Linked DNA regions of Arabidopsis thaliana. The protein of the gene in region 1 interacts with the protein of each later gene in a pairwise test. Each region holds a gene or a part of one and is shown in the gene's direction. Other genes may lie near its edges. The genes, in order: bbx23, BBX29, SPL13B and BBX15.

Region 1 (3,340 bases):
TGAAATTGAGTTTTGGTGATTGAGTAATGTGAATGTTGCAGGATGAAGGGAAGCTGAAGGAAGCACTTGCCTTTGCAAATGCATGTGGAGCAGTGTGTACTACTCAGAAAGGAGCTATTCCTGCACTTCCCACTCCAGCTGATGCTCAAAAGCTCATGAAATCTAAGTCTAAATAGTTTCAATCTTGTTCTGTTCTGTTTCTGTTTCTTCACTCTTGTCAATTTCCTTGGTTTTCACAGAGTATTTTCTCTGTTATCTGAATAAATCTAGTTTCAAGTTTCTGCCAAAATTGATTCCAAACTAATTCATATACCTTGATTTTTAATTACATGACTAATGTTCTATAACAAATAATCAAGAGGCTCTATAATATAAAGAAATGAACATTTTATTGCATATAGAGAAGGTTACAGAGATTTTGGTAGATAGGTTACAAAACATGACACTCCATTTAGCTTACACAATATGAAACTCAAAACTCTTGGATTTATAATAACTCTCTTCAGACTCAGAAAGTAATATATAGTTTCTTCAATATCAGAGTTCTTTGGATTCAGAAGAGCTGATTTTTGCAGTTTGGTCTTCTTCAGCTGCAATGTTAACAACTCTTGGACCCTTAACTTTTTCAGGAGATAGTTTCGTGAGGTTAATAGTGAGCACACCATTCTCAAGCTTGGCCTTGACTGATTCCATATCTACATTATCAGGTAGCTTGAACTGTCTCCAGAATTTTCCATATGATCTCTCCACTCTATGCCATTGATCTCCTTTCTTCTCTTCTTCTCTTTTCCTCTCTCCACTGACTCGTAAAACTCCGTTCTCCTCCACTTCTATCTTTACTTCATCCTTCTTCAAACCGGGGATATCGAGCATTATCTCATGCCCTTCTGCTGTTTCTTTCCAGTCTACTCTTGCTGGAGACAGAGCCACGCTTGTGTCCCTCTCGAGTCCTAATGGGATTCTCTCCAAGATCTTGAATGGATCAGGGAACCGGTCTAGCCAGAGATCGGATAGCAAGCTGCCTGGAGTAGTTTCAAGTGCAGAAGACAAAGACCCTTCACTTGTTTTGATGTTTCCAAGCAACAAAGCTCCTATGAAGAAGATGCTTAGCAAGTGCTTCATCATGGTTAGTGATTTGGATTTATTGTAGAAGGTTGAAACCAAAATTTTAGGCTTTTAACTTCACTTTCTTATTTTGTTTTCTATGATGGTTAGTCTCAATTCTCTGGTGTATATATAATACACATTGTATGAAGAATGAAGAAGTTTCTTGAAATATCTTTCTTTTGGTAGAGTTTTGCAGAGAGAGATATTGAGATTGTTCTAGCTTTTTTGGCTGTGACTTGTACTAATTATGTTACTACACGTTGGATAAGTTTGTTGTGCCTTTAAGGGTCTTCTCTCATGTTCCAGAGACTTCATGTAAAAACTATGGATTGGATTGGGCCTTAATAGTTATTTATATCCAGGCCTATTTTTATTGGCCCATTATGATATTTGGGACCAATTCTGTTTGTGATGAGTCTTAGAATTTTGGCTGCTGCATGGGAAAGGAATGGGAGAGAGTTTGAATGATGCCATGCTCCATTTCAGTTTCTGACAACATTTTAGAGTTTTTGACCTCTATTGCCCTATGGCTAGTTACTTTTAATTCCACAGTCTTTATGCATATTGTGGTCCTGCCTTTACTTTTGGCTTGCCATGCTTGTGTCTTAAGAGAAGCTTGTCGCTATGTTTGTCAATTTATGTTTTCAAAAGAAAGTAAAACTATACAAGCTTCTGAAAAAGATCTTGTCATGGAGATTTTGGTAGGAGAACATTTATTGGTTTAAATGCCACCCAAAGTTGGTCTAATAACCCCATATTGAGATAAAAATTTCGTCTTCGACATATCGTTGTATATCTATATATAGTTCTCTCTTTTCATGAATAAAGATCATCAATTCCTCTTGGTATCAGAGCCAGGTTTTGATATAACTTATGATCCCACCACACATGTGAACTTATTTAAGCTTGTTCTTTCTTGTTTCCTATATTTAGATTCACTCCTTGTCCTAATTCTCATAAATGTCAAAGAACATTTGTTCTGTCTGTGTATTGGCAATTTACATTGATTTGGATTATAAAGTTGAAGGATGAAGATACAATGTGAAGTGTGTGAAAAGGCTGAAGCAGAAGTACTTTGTTGTTCAGATGAAGCTGTACTATGCAAGCCATGTGACATTAAGGTTCATGAAGCTAATAAACTTTTCCAAAGACATCACCGAGTCGCCTTACAAAAAGATGCAGCCTCAGCCACCACAGCTTCTGGAGCTCCTCTATGTGATATCTGCCAGGTTCCAATCTCTTTTCTCTTTAAACACTCGCTGAGCTCTTTAACCGATGTCTCATATATATGTATATGCAGGAGAGAAAAGGGTACTTCTTCTGCTTAGAGGATAGAGCAATGCTGTGCAATGATTGTGATGAAGCCATTCACACTTGCAATTCTCACCAAAGATTCTTACTTTCTGGAGTACAAGTTTCTGATCAGTCTTTGACTGAAAACTCCGAATGCAGCACTAGTTTTAGCTCTGAAACTTACCAGATTCAGTCAAAAGTGTCTCTGAATAGTCAGTACTCTAGTGAGGAAACTGAAGCTGGAAACTCAGGTGAGATAGTACACAAGAATCCTTCTGTAATCTTAAGTCCTTAGAGATATACACACAACATCATGGTTCCGGAGCCATTGATGTTTAATAATAAAAGTTTCTGTAATATATTATCTTACACAGAAGAAAAACTTGTTGAGGAATCAAATCTTTTTGTTACAACAAATATTAAAACCATGACTTAACAACTAAAGTCAGTGGTCATGGCATCGACACAACCAAAGCTAAGTTGTTCCAATAGTTTCAAGAATTGTAGAAATGTGAATACTATTTGAATCGATCTTAGATATATAAACAAAATTTAAAAAATGAATAAATAATTATTGATTAAATATAATTATTTATCTCAAATATCAAGACTTGGATAGAAAATGCATAACTTAATGAGACAGTCATAGATTACTACTATTAGCTCTTGTACTTTCTTTTTGCCTCACTACAAGAACTATAGACCTTGTTGGATTTGAACCAACGTTGGAACATAACTGATTAAGAAGTGACCATTGAGATTCTTCCTCATCATGATCCAATTGTATACATTTATCTTCTCCCACAACGTGTAAAAAAACGTTGGAGACCCCATGCTTACCACGACACACCAAAACTTTGTTCTCCTGGTCGACCAAAAATTTATCCCACTAGCAAACCAAAAAGGCTTGTAGAAACTTTCTCCATGACGCGGCTCCGGT
Region 2 (3,640 bases), on another chromosome or scaffold:
AAAATGATGCACCTCTCATAGAGTCATCGGTATCCCTGATAAAAAGAATCAAACGTGGAATGGTCCGAATGAATAAAATCTTAGTGTACATATATATAAATCATATAATTTGATAGAATTTATGTTGAAAATGTAAATAATATGTATTTTTATCAACAAAAAAATTTAAAATTATTATAATTGGGTTGATCACCCATACTGAACAAATTTAACAATTTCTATTGTAAATTTGTAATCCACTTCTCTTTTTAATAAATCTTTAAAGAAACTTGCAAAAGAAAACATAAATGGAAAAGAACTAACAAAAAATAAGGAGTAATTCGTAAGATAGATGTGTATTGATTCGAGGCTTCTTCTAAGTTGTTCTAAAGTTGTCATCCACAAACATTTAAAAGTAAAAAAACAAAAAACCATAAAACTCAAAACACCTCCACTCATCAGCGCTTTTTTAATGCATGTGGCTCTCAAATGAAGACATCTCGTGTTCCTTTGATTCTTCACAATTCACACTTCACCCTTTACACCACTAATCTTCGCCACGTAAAAATTTCTCAAGCATGTTACGTAGGCCCAACTTTACCATTTTTTTTGTTCTTATATATATTTTACGTATTATTTGTTATCCTAAAATGACTTTCAATCCATCTTTGCTAGTCTTAATCTCGATTTCGTGATACAAATTAATTCCTTTGATCAAATGAATACAAATAATCAAATTAATTCATCTTTGATCATAGATGAATTAGTTTGTTCTATGGATCAAAACCACAGATCAAACTCTATCATACAAAAATCGTTGTGATTTTCTTTTAAAAACTCACAACTGTAAACATTTGAAATGACAAAAAATATTTGTCTAACTACAAGCTTCTTAGCTATCTATCTATCCTGTTTTTTAGATAAAAATTCGTAATACCTTTCATTTTTTTAATCCAGGTTTAATAATTTTTCAAATATATATTCTATATTCTTTTTAATTACCATTAGCAAATAACAAGTAATATATCGAATTGCCAATGATGTGAAGTAAAAATGTAAAATTAGTGGTTGGATTTATTTATTTATTTTTATTTAGAGAAAAAGACATTTAACTCGAATTATGTAAAATATGGAACGCTAAAAGTGGTTGATAAAATCATAAAATTAGGTTCTTCTCCTAGTAACCATGTTGATTCATGGACACCAAAATTTCCGAACCCAAAATGCGATATTAAAAATCCGATCATCATTATTATCCTACCGTAATACCAACGATATAAATGATATTTAATTCACTTTTCATTTTCGAAAACAAAACGCTTGGACCGGAACGAGAGAGGAATACTGAAAAAAGTAAAAAATGAAAGAAAAAAGAGTGGACCCATTAGACGTGTATTGAGGACCAGACAAATCCCAGGTGCGGATCACGTGGTTCTAAGTCTATTACAGAACCTGATTCGTCCACGTAGGATAACTCAGAATCTTCCCTCTCCTCTATACGAGGCTAATATCTCGCCACGTCATTAACTAAAAATCTAACCGCATAAAAATATCTGATGAAACATAAAACGAATAATATCTCGACACGTAAGACTTCGCCCATAGGAGAGCCTTGTCCCAGTACATGGTTTCAGGACCAAGTAAATAACAACATTTCCTTTAATTTTTATTATTATTATCATCTCTCCTAAATTTAAGAATTCGAGAATAATACTCAGCCGCGGAAACCTTAATCAATTTCAAACACAGATTTAGAACTACTAATACAAAATTATCCACAAATTATCCACCATAAAAATTAAAGTTTGAACGAATCCTTTAATCTTATTCTAATTTAAAATTAGGAAGCTTCTTTGCATTTCATTAAAAAATTACGTGAAAAATCGTTTCGTTAATATCAAAAAGACGACAATATCCTCGAAAAGAATTAAATCACATAAAAGTCGCCACGAAATTCTCATTTTACAATTCTCTATTACGCTGTCTCTTATTCGTGTCCGCAGAAGAAACGAGAGAAGAGAGAGAAGCAAAAGACCTTACCAAGAATATTTATAACACACAAACATCTAGAGACAGAGATAGACATAGAGAGAGAGCTTGTGGTTGTGGTTGTGCGAGATAATATCTAGAGATGGGGAAGAAGAAGTGCGAGTTATGTTGTGGTGTAGCGAGAATGTATTGTGAGTCAGATCAAGCGAGTTTATGTTGGGATTGTGACGGTAAAGTTCACGGAGCTAATTTTCTGGTGGCGAAACACATGCGTTGTCTTCTATGTAGCGCGTGTCAGTCACACACGCCTTGGAAAGCTTCTGGGCTGAATCTTGGCCCAACTGTTTCTATCTGTGAGTCTTGTTTAGCTCGTAAGAAGAATAACAACAGCTCCCTCGCCGGGAGGGATCAGAATCTTAACCAAGAAGAAGAGATCATTGGTTGTAACGACGGAGCTGAGTCTTATGATGAGGAAAGCGATGAGGATGAAGAAGAAGAAGAAGTGGAGAATCAGGTTGTTCCGGCTGCGGTGGAGCAAGAACTTCCGGTGGTGAGTTCGTCGTCTTCGGTTAGTAGTGGTGAAGGAGATCAGGTGGTGAAAAGGACGAGACTTGATTTGGATCTTAACCTCTCCGATGTATGAATATGAATCTTTTTCTTTATCTTCTTTTATTATTAGGAAATGATTAAGAAATCTGAAACAATTCTTTTTGAAATGCAGGAGGAGAACCAATCTAGACCATTGAAAAGATTATCGAGAGACGAAGGTTTGTCAAGATCAACTGTTGTGATGAATAGCTCAATCGTGAAATTACACGGAGGGAGGAGAAAAGCAGAGGGATGTGATACATCATCGTCGTCTTCGTTTTATTGAAATCGCCAAGGAAAGTAGAGATTGTAGCCGTTGATGATTCTTTTGTTTGGTTGATTAGATTAATCCTCATCGTTCATTTACTAACAACAATACTTTTAGTGAGTTGAGTTAGTTTAAAAACATTTCAATATAATGATTTTTTTTTGTGTTTTTTTTTCTGTGTTACCTAGAATATATATGTTCATATGTCTAGTATAAAATCATATAACATAAAAAATAAAATGAAGCAAAGTTGTTCAGAAAATGATTAAGAAAATGAAGCTGTTTTCTATTTATTTATTTTTTAACGAAAATGATTAAGAAAATTAATTAGTGAAACAAGAGATATTATTATAAATTTATAACGTGAGAAGGATTACCAGCCAAAACCAAAATTTATTATGATGTCAATTTTATTTGCCTTCCCAGAACTAGAAGTGTCTGTGTCATTGTGATGTTACAACTGAAGAGTACATAACGTATGAATGTCCGTTAGCTTTGTAAATTGTAACTACGACCACTAAAAAGAATCAAACAAAAAAGTTGTCAAGACTTAGAAAAAAGAAGATATTTAGTACCATGGGGTCCTCCTTTAAAGTTTTTTTAAAAAAAATTTATTTGTCAAACGCTTTGAACCCATCGTGTCTTTTGTATCTAAACCGTGTTCGAAGCTCCAAAAAAATAAAAAATGATGCTCTCATGATTTATATGTAACTAAATAAATTGGTTTTATTTCTAATTTTGAATCTATTTGTTTTGTGAGAAATGAGAAGATCCAAGTTTTTGGTTTCTTGATCGTATATGATAAATACAGTATAC
Region 3 (4,779 bases), on another chromosome or scaffold:
AATGTTAGTTCACATTCCACTGTTTCATCAAGCTTTTTCTATGAAGCCAAAATTGACAATAGAGAAAGAAAGTTAACACATTATATGCCAAAAGAAAGGCATGTGATATACAACCGTCAAAAGAAAAAAACGAGATGAGTACCTTTGTGTACTTATAATTCTGAAGGTCGACAAATATTTCGCCACATGAGCCTCTACAATCAACTGTATAGAACGCTACATCTTTTGCTAGGTTCCTACACTTTTCATTAACTGCTTTCTGCATAACAAAGCACATTATTTCAAGTGATCAATCTACATGGCAACAAAAGACAAAAACAACTGGAACAACTAAAAGAAGGAGGTATCAACAGTACCTTAGTAGCACGAGAACTGTAGCCGATAACCACAACATCAAACTTCTCGAAAAAATCAACACCAAGTGTTGACAAATCACCTGAAATTGAAGACATAGACTCGATGTTACTAAAATCATTTGTTTCTACTAAAATTAGAGAGAAATGAAGAAAGGAGGAGTAACCTTTCTCTATTGAAACATGAACCATAGGGTTAAAATCCTTAAGTGAATCACAACAAATCTCAGCTACGGTTTTGCCTACATAAGCATTTTCATCAGGAAGAATCAAGAAGTTTGCGTTGAAGACTTCCGTTGTAACCAATCGATCATCCAACAGAGTCACACTACCTACTCCTGCCAACACAATGTTCTTACAAAACTGCAACACCAAATGGAGGAAACCAAGTAAGATGCCAACACTCACTCTACTGCAACATAGCTAATAGAGAGTCACAAAATAAAGTAAGAGGTACCTCAGCAACAGTGCCCTTAATTCCAGATACCAAAACATGAGATTTACTCAATCTGCAAGCAAAAACACAAAACAAAATTCAGAGAAGCCCTAATCAAAATTTCAACAGCTAAATTAGCTTAAAACCCAGAAAGAGATAAACTTTCACCGAGTATAGCCCAACAAGAAGAGTTTATTAGTACTCAAACGGAAAATCAATAACTTGTTGTTGCTTGAAGCCATAGAAGTTAGATTCAATGTGAAGTACCTTCTTTGAGCACCAGCTCCCCATACCCTAATTTGACGGTCATAAAGAGCAGTTTCCTGCTCGGTGAGCTCATCTCCGTCCATTCTCGTAGTGAAACCCTAGAACCGACCTCGAAGAGATGATCAAACCCGTCACGAATCTACTACAAGAGGTTTTCGGTGACTCACTCACTGAGTTTGAGATTTTTTGTTAACCGGAAAATTGCTTTCTTTTTATTTATTCAAATTACATGGTTTGTTTTGGTTTGGTCCGGTTCGTCAACTACAAATTTTTAAATTCAAAACAACTGTGCATTCAATAAATAACCAATTTGTTATTTTTTAGGACAATTTATGGGCCGAAACAAATGAAACATGGGCTTTGGACCCCAAATCTTTTAAATCCATCTGCAAAACTTTTAAAGACATGGAAGACTTTTATACGATTCTCCCTGATAATTGACAACTTGTGTGACCCGTAACTATGAAAGTCAAAGAAAATAACGCGTATCGGTGGAAAGAGAGAAGAAAAAAAACAGAAGAAGATGTTGTGTAATGCGAAGCACAACATTCACATGCTATGTTTTTTGCCGTAAACAACTAAGCATCCTATACCTCTTTCTTTAGTATCACTTTCCAATTTATTGTTTCATTTTCATCATCATCATAGTTATAAAAAAGAAAAAACCACATCTATTTTATATCACAATTTGAAAACTAATATATTTTGGATAAGGGTCAGTAAAAAGATACAAGATTTATGAGTAATTTGAAATTTTCAAAAGTATACTCTGTTCATTCATAAAAATCGGATGCTCAGAGTTCAGAATTGATGAATGGCAGAGAAAAATATAAACAAAGAAAAGTTGAAAAAGTAAGCAAAAGAACAATCAACAACAGCTGTCACTTTCCTCCATTCTTTTCTTCACTTTTTCTTACTCAAAGTTTTTAAAAAATGATATCAATAAAACCCTAAATCAGGAAAGTAAAGTTACAATTAAAGTAAGTAAATCATTTCTTAACTTAGTAATAGCTATTATCATCAATTTCTCTCTCTCTTTCCTCTTTCTCTTATTTGCATTATTGAAGTAGCAGCCACACTTGTTGTCTCCACTTTCTCTTGCTAAACTCCATCATCTTCTCTTTCTTTTTTTTCACTTGTCCCATTTTTTTATATTTTCATCTTTCTCTTTTGGAGTTTCTTCTTCTACTGACTCTACTGGTAGGTGTATGGATTTGGTAAGATTTCTCAACCTTCAAACAACAAACTTTTCTTATTCTATAGTTTTTTTTAATGTAATAACATGTTTATAATCTTACTTTAATCTTTCATTTTTATTGCATTTTTTTAATTCTTGCTTGGAATTGAGTAGACAGAAAAAAAGTTTTTTGTTTTTTTTTTTGTTTTCCTTTCTTCCCATTTTGTGGGATCTGTTCTAGTTTCTATGTTTCTGCACTTCTCATTTCGTTTTTTCAGTACAATTAGTTTGCCTTTTTTGGGATTTTTTTTTTGTTTTTTTTTCAATATCAAAATAGATCATTTTGTTAGAGCTTCAACTACAATTTCAGAGTACTCTTTATAATTGTGTTTTTGCTTTTTGCTTATGCTTTTTTATTTTCCTTCATATGTATTGAAGTTGAAGTTTAATTGAGTTAAAGATTCATGGGTTTTATGTTTACTAGTTGTTTTTGCTGTTTGTTCTTAAATTTAGAGTACCAATATCAAAAAGGACAAATCTTGATATTGCTTTGATTGCTGTTGTGTATGTATGTGTTTTTATAGTGAGAGAAGAAAAAAAAGCACAATCTTTGAATGGACTGGAATTTCAAACTTAGCTCTGGTTATTTATCTGGATTCGATCAAGAACCAGATTTATCACCAATGGATGGTTCGATCTCGTTTGGTGGGTCGTCACAGTCAAAAGCGGATTTTTCATTTGATCTAAAACTTGGAAGAAACATTGGAAACTCTTCCTCTGTTTTTGGTGATACAGAGCAAGTGATTAGTCTTAGTAAGTGGAAAGATAGTGCTTTAGCTAAACCAGAAGGTTCAAGAAGCTCGAGTTCAAAGAGAACAAGAGGGAATGGTGTTGGAACCAACCAGATGCCGATTTGTCTTGTTGATGGATGTGATTCTGATTTTAGTAATTGTAGAGAGTATCATAAGAGACATAAAGTTTGTGATGTTCATTCAAAAACTCCTGTGGTTACTATTAATGGTCATAAACAGAGGTTTTGTCAACAATGCAGCAGGTAAGATTGTGTGTTAATGGTTTAAGCTTCTTGTTGGGTTGGTGAAGATGTTAACATTTGTGTCTAATTAGGTTTCATGCTTTGGAGGAGTTTGATGAAGGGAAGAGAAGTTGTAGGAAACGTCTTGATGGACATAATCGAAGACGACGGAAGCCGCAGCCTGAACATATCGGTCGTCCTGCCAACTTCTTTACGGGTTTTCAAGGTTTCTGTTTTAAGAAAAGTTAGTTAGTTTCTTGAATCCAATAGACCGTTCCTTGTTGATGAAGAAGCATTGTTTTATGTTTTCAGGTAGCAAATTGCTAGAGTTTTCTGGTGGTTCACATGTGTTTCCAACTACATCTGTGTTGAACCCGAGCTGGGGAAATAGTCTTGTAAGCGTTGCTGTAGCCGCCAATGGTTCGAGTTATGGGCAGAGCCAGAGCTATGTTGTTGGTTCTTCTCCTGCAAAGACAGGGATAATGTTTCCAATCTCTTCTTCTCCAAACAGTACCAGAAGCATAGCAAAACAATTCCCTTTCTTGCAAGAAGAAGAAAGCTCGAGAACCGCATCGTTGTGTGAGAGAATGACGAGTTGCATCCATGACTCTGATTGTGCTCTCTCTCTTCTGTCATCCTCCTCGTCGTCAGTCCCTCATTTGCTTCAACCACCACTTTCTTTGTCCCAAGAAGCAGTTGAGACAGTTTTTTACGGGTCGGGATTGTTTGAGAATGCGAGTGCAGTCTCTGATGGATCGGTTATATCCGGTAACGAGGCTGTCCGTCTTCCGCAGACATTCCCGTTTCATTGGGAGTAGTAGAAGAAGAAGTAGGTAGATAGATAGAATCAGAAAGATCTATTTGTGTCTCTTCTCTTCTCCCTCATTTTTCAATGTTCTTTATCATCATCATTGTTCTTGTTAACACTACAAGAAATATGGACATTCTTAACACACCGAAAACGCTATAATAACGTTTACATAGCGGATTCATAAACGCTGTGTTTGCCGGAGCTATCTTAGAGTGGTCACATACAATAGCGTTTCTTGCTATGCTATTAAATGTTCACATATTATGGCGTAAAAGAAATGCTTTGATTTCCTTTGTTATTGCACAATTTTGATGTTATACTTTTGTAACTCTTTTTAAGGGCTATAAACTATTATTTTGTAGCTATATTTTATAGGCTATGATCTGATATGTTGTAGCTTTATTTTTTTGGCTATAAATCTATAAACAGCCTATAAGTTTGGGACATTTTGTTACACATTTGCAAGAAACCTCTTTTTGATCAAATTCAATATATATAAAATCTCCATACAAGTCTCAATCCAAGTCTTAACTAACATTACAATAACAAATGCCACAAGTAAAATGATATCACATCTTCTTTCTAACCTTGACTCGCTTCTCCAATTCTTCTCATAATCTTGTACAGTCTTCTTCTTCTCTCCAATCAAACTTCAAACTCGAATAGTGTAAAAATGAGTACTTGAGCAGATCTTACATGAAA
Region 4 (4,030 bases), on another chromosome or scaffold:
CCGTAAGAATTTGTAGGGATTCGTGGGCTCGAATTATGGGGCTTGTATTAAAATTTATAAAGTAAAGTTCGTTTGCAGAATTTTATTAATTATATCGGCCCATATATATTTGAGTTTTGAGCCGACACATTATTTAGCCCAGTGATAAAGGCCTCTTACGTAACTCGATCAGTCCTCCCTCATCTCTAATAAACAACATGTTCTTCACTTTTTTCTTTTTTTTTCTACAGAAATACAATCCAAAAAATTACTTGTTCATGTAAAATAATATGTGAGAATTAATGTTATACTTTGTAACCAAACTGATTAGCCTTCAATATTAGTGGATCCATAGTCATTAATTAATCGTAGTTTAGTGGTATTAACTCCATTTGAGTTTTTTTTTTTATTTCACTTTGCTATTGAAATAGGAAATATTGTCATTTAAATATAGTATTATGTTTTCGATTTTAAAATCCTAGTAATAGTGGCTGCTCGTTCTTCTTATGATAATGAGGCTTCCTACATTTAATTGTGTGCATCAAATGTACATCTATATATCAATAACATAAGTAGATTGGATGGAATGTGAATGCAAATTTATAATTCTAATCATATACTTAGGTTATAACCCTAAACAAATGTAATTTTGTTTTCATGAAATATCTTATTAATCATGTTACCAATAAAGTTATGCTTACTAATTGCTTTTTTCCTTATGCTAACCAGTAATTAGTGGGTATAGTTGACATGATGATAACATATGTGATTGAATTGTAATAATGCGACATTATGAATAAAACATGTTACTAAAAATGAATACATGTTAATATCACCCGTGAAACTATTATCTTTGATGAAAATAAAATTACAAATTACGCATTTTTAAGGTTATTTACTAAATAAAACTTACCTTTTGTCTTACCATATTTCTCTTGGGTACAATATCGCCTTTCTCCAAATGAGGATATCACTTTTGTCTAGGTAATAGTTCATATCACATGAGTAGTCTTTATTATGATTTTATATTGATAGCTATAATTAACTCTGTGTTGATAATAATATTTTCTATTGGACAAGACTAACCAATAGATAAATGAACCTGGCAACACATGGTGCACCAAAATAAGAATAATTAATAATAAATATTGTACCAATTTATCATTTATGATAAATCTCCACATTCATTTTCTTAAATTTATTTGTTTAATCAAATAATCAACCATTGTAGCTTAAAAACTTCTATCCAATCAAATCTTCCTTCAACTTCAAACTTCAAAAAATTGAATCAATGCTTTTTGCTAAGATATTTCTCAGATTTCTAAAAAGTGAATCAATGTTTGTTGATAAGTATTACCAAAATTGGAGAAAAACTATTTAGCTAAAAAAATTATTTTATCCATAGTCAAAGTTAGTAGTTATTATATAGTCTCTAAAAAAATGGTGGAAGAAAAGGAAAAAATGTCAAAGCTGAAACCTTTGCTACTAAAAAAAGGAAAAAAGAAATAACAAAAATCACAAAAAGTCTTGAATATTGAAAAAAAAAAAAGAGTGATTGGGCAAGGAAAACGACAAGGTAGACCACACAAGAAATCCAATGGATAAAGAAGCTGACCAATTAAAACACTATTACGAAGATCATCTTCAGAACTCAACCAATCACAAATCAGATAAGGCCTCGTCATGGGTCCCTAACTGAAGACATAAACACCCAAAAAGTACATAATTTTTCTTATAACTTCAAAAATCCACTGACACAAAAGGGAATGCGCTTCATGCGGGTCATCCTCTTAATCTCAAACTCTCTAGGACTACACTAAATCTAACTTTTTGCAGAGAGCAAAAGATTCAATAATTGAGATTGATCTCAAAACCAAAGCTCTCGTGCTCTTGTCGTTGATGTTGGTTGTGTAGACTTTGTATACAATGATGAAAAGTTTGGCGAATGCTGTTGGAGCGAAGACGGCGAGGGCTTGCGACAGCTGCGTGAAGAGACGTGCACGGTGGTACTGCGCGGCCGACGATGCTTTTCTTTGCCAGTCTTGCGACAGTTTGGTCCATTCAGCAAACCCTCTTGCTCGCCGCCACGAGAGAGTCCGTTTGAAGACGGCTAGCCCGGCGGTCGTAAAGCATAGCAACCACTCATCAGCTTCTCCTCCACATGAGGTCGCCACGTGGCATCACGGGTTTACTCGTAAAGCTCGAACGCCACGTGGCTCTGGTAAGAAAAACAATTCGTCGATATTTCATGACTTGGTTCCTGATATTAGTATTGAGGATCAGACAGACAACTATGAGCTTGAAGAGCAGCTGATCTGTCAAGTGCCGGTTCTAGATCCGTTGGTGTCTGAGCAGTTCTTGAACGATGTCGTTGAGCCCAAGATCGAGTTTCCTATGATCAGAAGTGGTTTGATGATCGAGGAGGAGGAAGACAACGCTGAAAGTTGTCTTAATGGATTTTTCCCGACCGACATGGAGCTTGAGGAGTTTGCTGCTGACGTGGAGACTCTGCTCGGTCGCGGGTTAGACACGGAGTCGTATGCCATGGAGGAGCTAGGGTTATCTAATTCAGAGATGTTCAAAATCGAAAAAGATGAGATTGAAGAAGAAGTAGAAGAGATAAAAGCCATGAGCATGGATATATTTGATGATGATCGAAAAGACGTGGATGGAACAGTACCGTTTGAGCTAAGCTTTGATTACGAGTCGTCACACAAGACGTCCGAAGAAGAGGTAATGAAGAACGTTGAAAGTAGTGGTGAATGTGTTGTTAAGGTGAAAGAGGAAGAACATAAGAATGTTCTGATGCTAAGATTAAACTATGACTCGGTGATATCCACTTGGGGAGGTCAAGGTCCACCGTGGAGTTCAGGAGAGCCACCGGAACGAGACATGGACATCAGCGGTTGGCCAGCCTTTTCCATGGTACGTTATTTAAAATCCTCATTCTTATAGAATTCAAATAAAAGTGAGTTTACTGTTCTCAAATTTCTAAAAGTTGAAATAATATGTTTTAGGTGGAGAATGGAGGAGAAAGTACTCATCAGAAGCAATACGTTGGTGGATGTTTACCATCAAGTGGGTTTGGAGATGGAGGTAGAGAAGCTAGAGTTTCGAGATACAGAGAGAAGAGGAGGACAAGGTTGTTTTCTAAGAAGATACGGTACGAGGTACGTAAATTGAATGCAGAGAAAAGACCACGAATGAAAGGAAGATTCGTGAAGAGAGCCTCGCTCGCTGCTGCTGCTTCACCATTAGGTGTTAATTACTGAATAGTTAATATCTATTCATGTTATATCTCACTTTACAAATTTCGGTGAATCTTTTTTCTTCTGAAACAACAGAAGTTATTTTGGCACTTAATTGTGCTTTGAGGACTTGTATGTACATAGAAGTAACCAATAATAATGTGACTTTTACTTGTATTGATAGCACTGATGTATATATCTGGTAATAAGAATGTGCAAACTGCAAAGGCATTTTGATTGTTAAATTACTCTATCTTAAACATGTTTACCATGGAACGAACATAAGAACAAAAAACTGATTCTCTTAAAAAAAATCGATTGATCATCTTTACGAACTCTAAAAAATAAGAAATAGTTTTAAACTATTTGAAAAACTTTTTGATATCTGGTAACACTATATTATCCTAAAAGAATCAGAATCGGGATTTCAAACACAAAAATGGCTAGACAGCAAACTATAATATGCAGAATGAACAAGTTTTCCGTGAATTGTCATTGTCATTGCCAATTGATGTCGCATTTTTTTCTGTATAGTCCAATTTCTTCTTAATTTCTAGCTAAAAGATGAAAATGGCTACTAACTACCACACAAGCGTATATTGGACCAAATATCTATAAGCGTTAATATCATCAAATCGTTATCAACGACCCATTATTAATTGTGGTACATAAGAAATGTTAATATTGGTGGTGTTTGATATTATTGGTAAGATGGATAATTTCAAACAAGTTTTGTTTGATACCAACATAAGAACGAAATTTCTTGGTACCAACCGATAATAAGTTGGAAGCCGAAATTTCTT

What was found.
Region 2: the proteins of bbx23 (region 1) and BBX29 interact in a two-hybrid assay, tested with the Arabidopsis thaliana proteins (one large-scale study listed by BioGRID).
Region 3: the proteins of bbx23 (region 1) and SPL13B interact in a two-hybrid assay, tested with the Arabidopsis thaliana proteins (one large-scale study listed by BioGRID).
Region 4: the proteins of bbx23 (region 1) and BBX15 interact in a two-hybrid assay, tested with the Arabidopsis thaliana proteins (one large-scale study listed by BioGRID).

Annotation. Positions count from the first base shown.
Region 1 is NC_003075.7:6,368,322-6,371,661, reverse strand, and holds bbx23 (B-box zinc finger family protein), read left to right. Parts: upstream 1-1,711; 5' UTR 1,712-2,135; coding exon 2,136-2,336; intron 2,337-2,407; coding exon 2,408-2,695; 3' UTR 2,696-2,833; downstream 2,834-3,340. Other genes in the region: AT4G10260 (pfkB-like carbohydrate kinase family protein), read left to right, coding at 42-176; ATHSP22.0 (HSP20-like chaperones superfamily protein), read right to left, coding at 538-1,125. UniProt on the Arabidopsis thaliana protein: Probable transcription factor that may be involved in seedling photomorphogenesis.
Region 2 is NC_003076.8:22,113,786-22,117,425, reverse strand, and holds BBX29 (B-box type zinc finger family protein), read left to right. Parts: upstream 1-1,886; 5' UTR 1,887-2,110; coding exon 2,111-2,605; intron 2,606-2,689; coding exon 2,690-2,842; 3' UTR 2,843-3,122; downstream 3,123-3,640.
Region 3 is NC_003076.8:20,615,202-20,619,980, reverse strand, and holds SPL13B (Squamosa promoter-binding protein-like (SBP domain) transcription factor family protein), read left to right. Parts: upstream 1-1,917; 5' UTR 1,918-2,273; intron 2,274-2,442; exon of another isoform or gene 2,443-2,817; 5' UTR 2,818-2,847; coding exon 2,848-3,287; intron 3,288-3,358; coding exon 3,359-3,492; intron 3,493-3,578; coding exon 3,579-4,084; 3' UTR 4,085-4,277; downstream 4,278-4,779. Other genes in the region: SAE1B (SUMO activating enzyme 1B), read right to left, coding at 1-38, 143-259, 357-436, 521-716, 811-862, 1,057-1,139. UniProt on the Arabidopsis thaliana protein: Trans-acting factor that binds specifically to the consensus nucleotide sequence 5'-TNCGTACAA-3'.
Region 4 is NC_003070.9:8,933,160-8,937,189, reverse strand, and holds BBX15 (B-box type zinc finger protein with CCT domain-containing protein), read left to right. Parts: upstream 1-1,645; 5' UTR 1,646-1,905; coding exon 1,906-2,904; intron 2,905-2,996; coding exon 2,997-3,251; 3' UTR 3,252-3,474; downstream 3,475-4,030.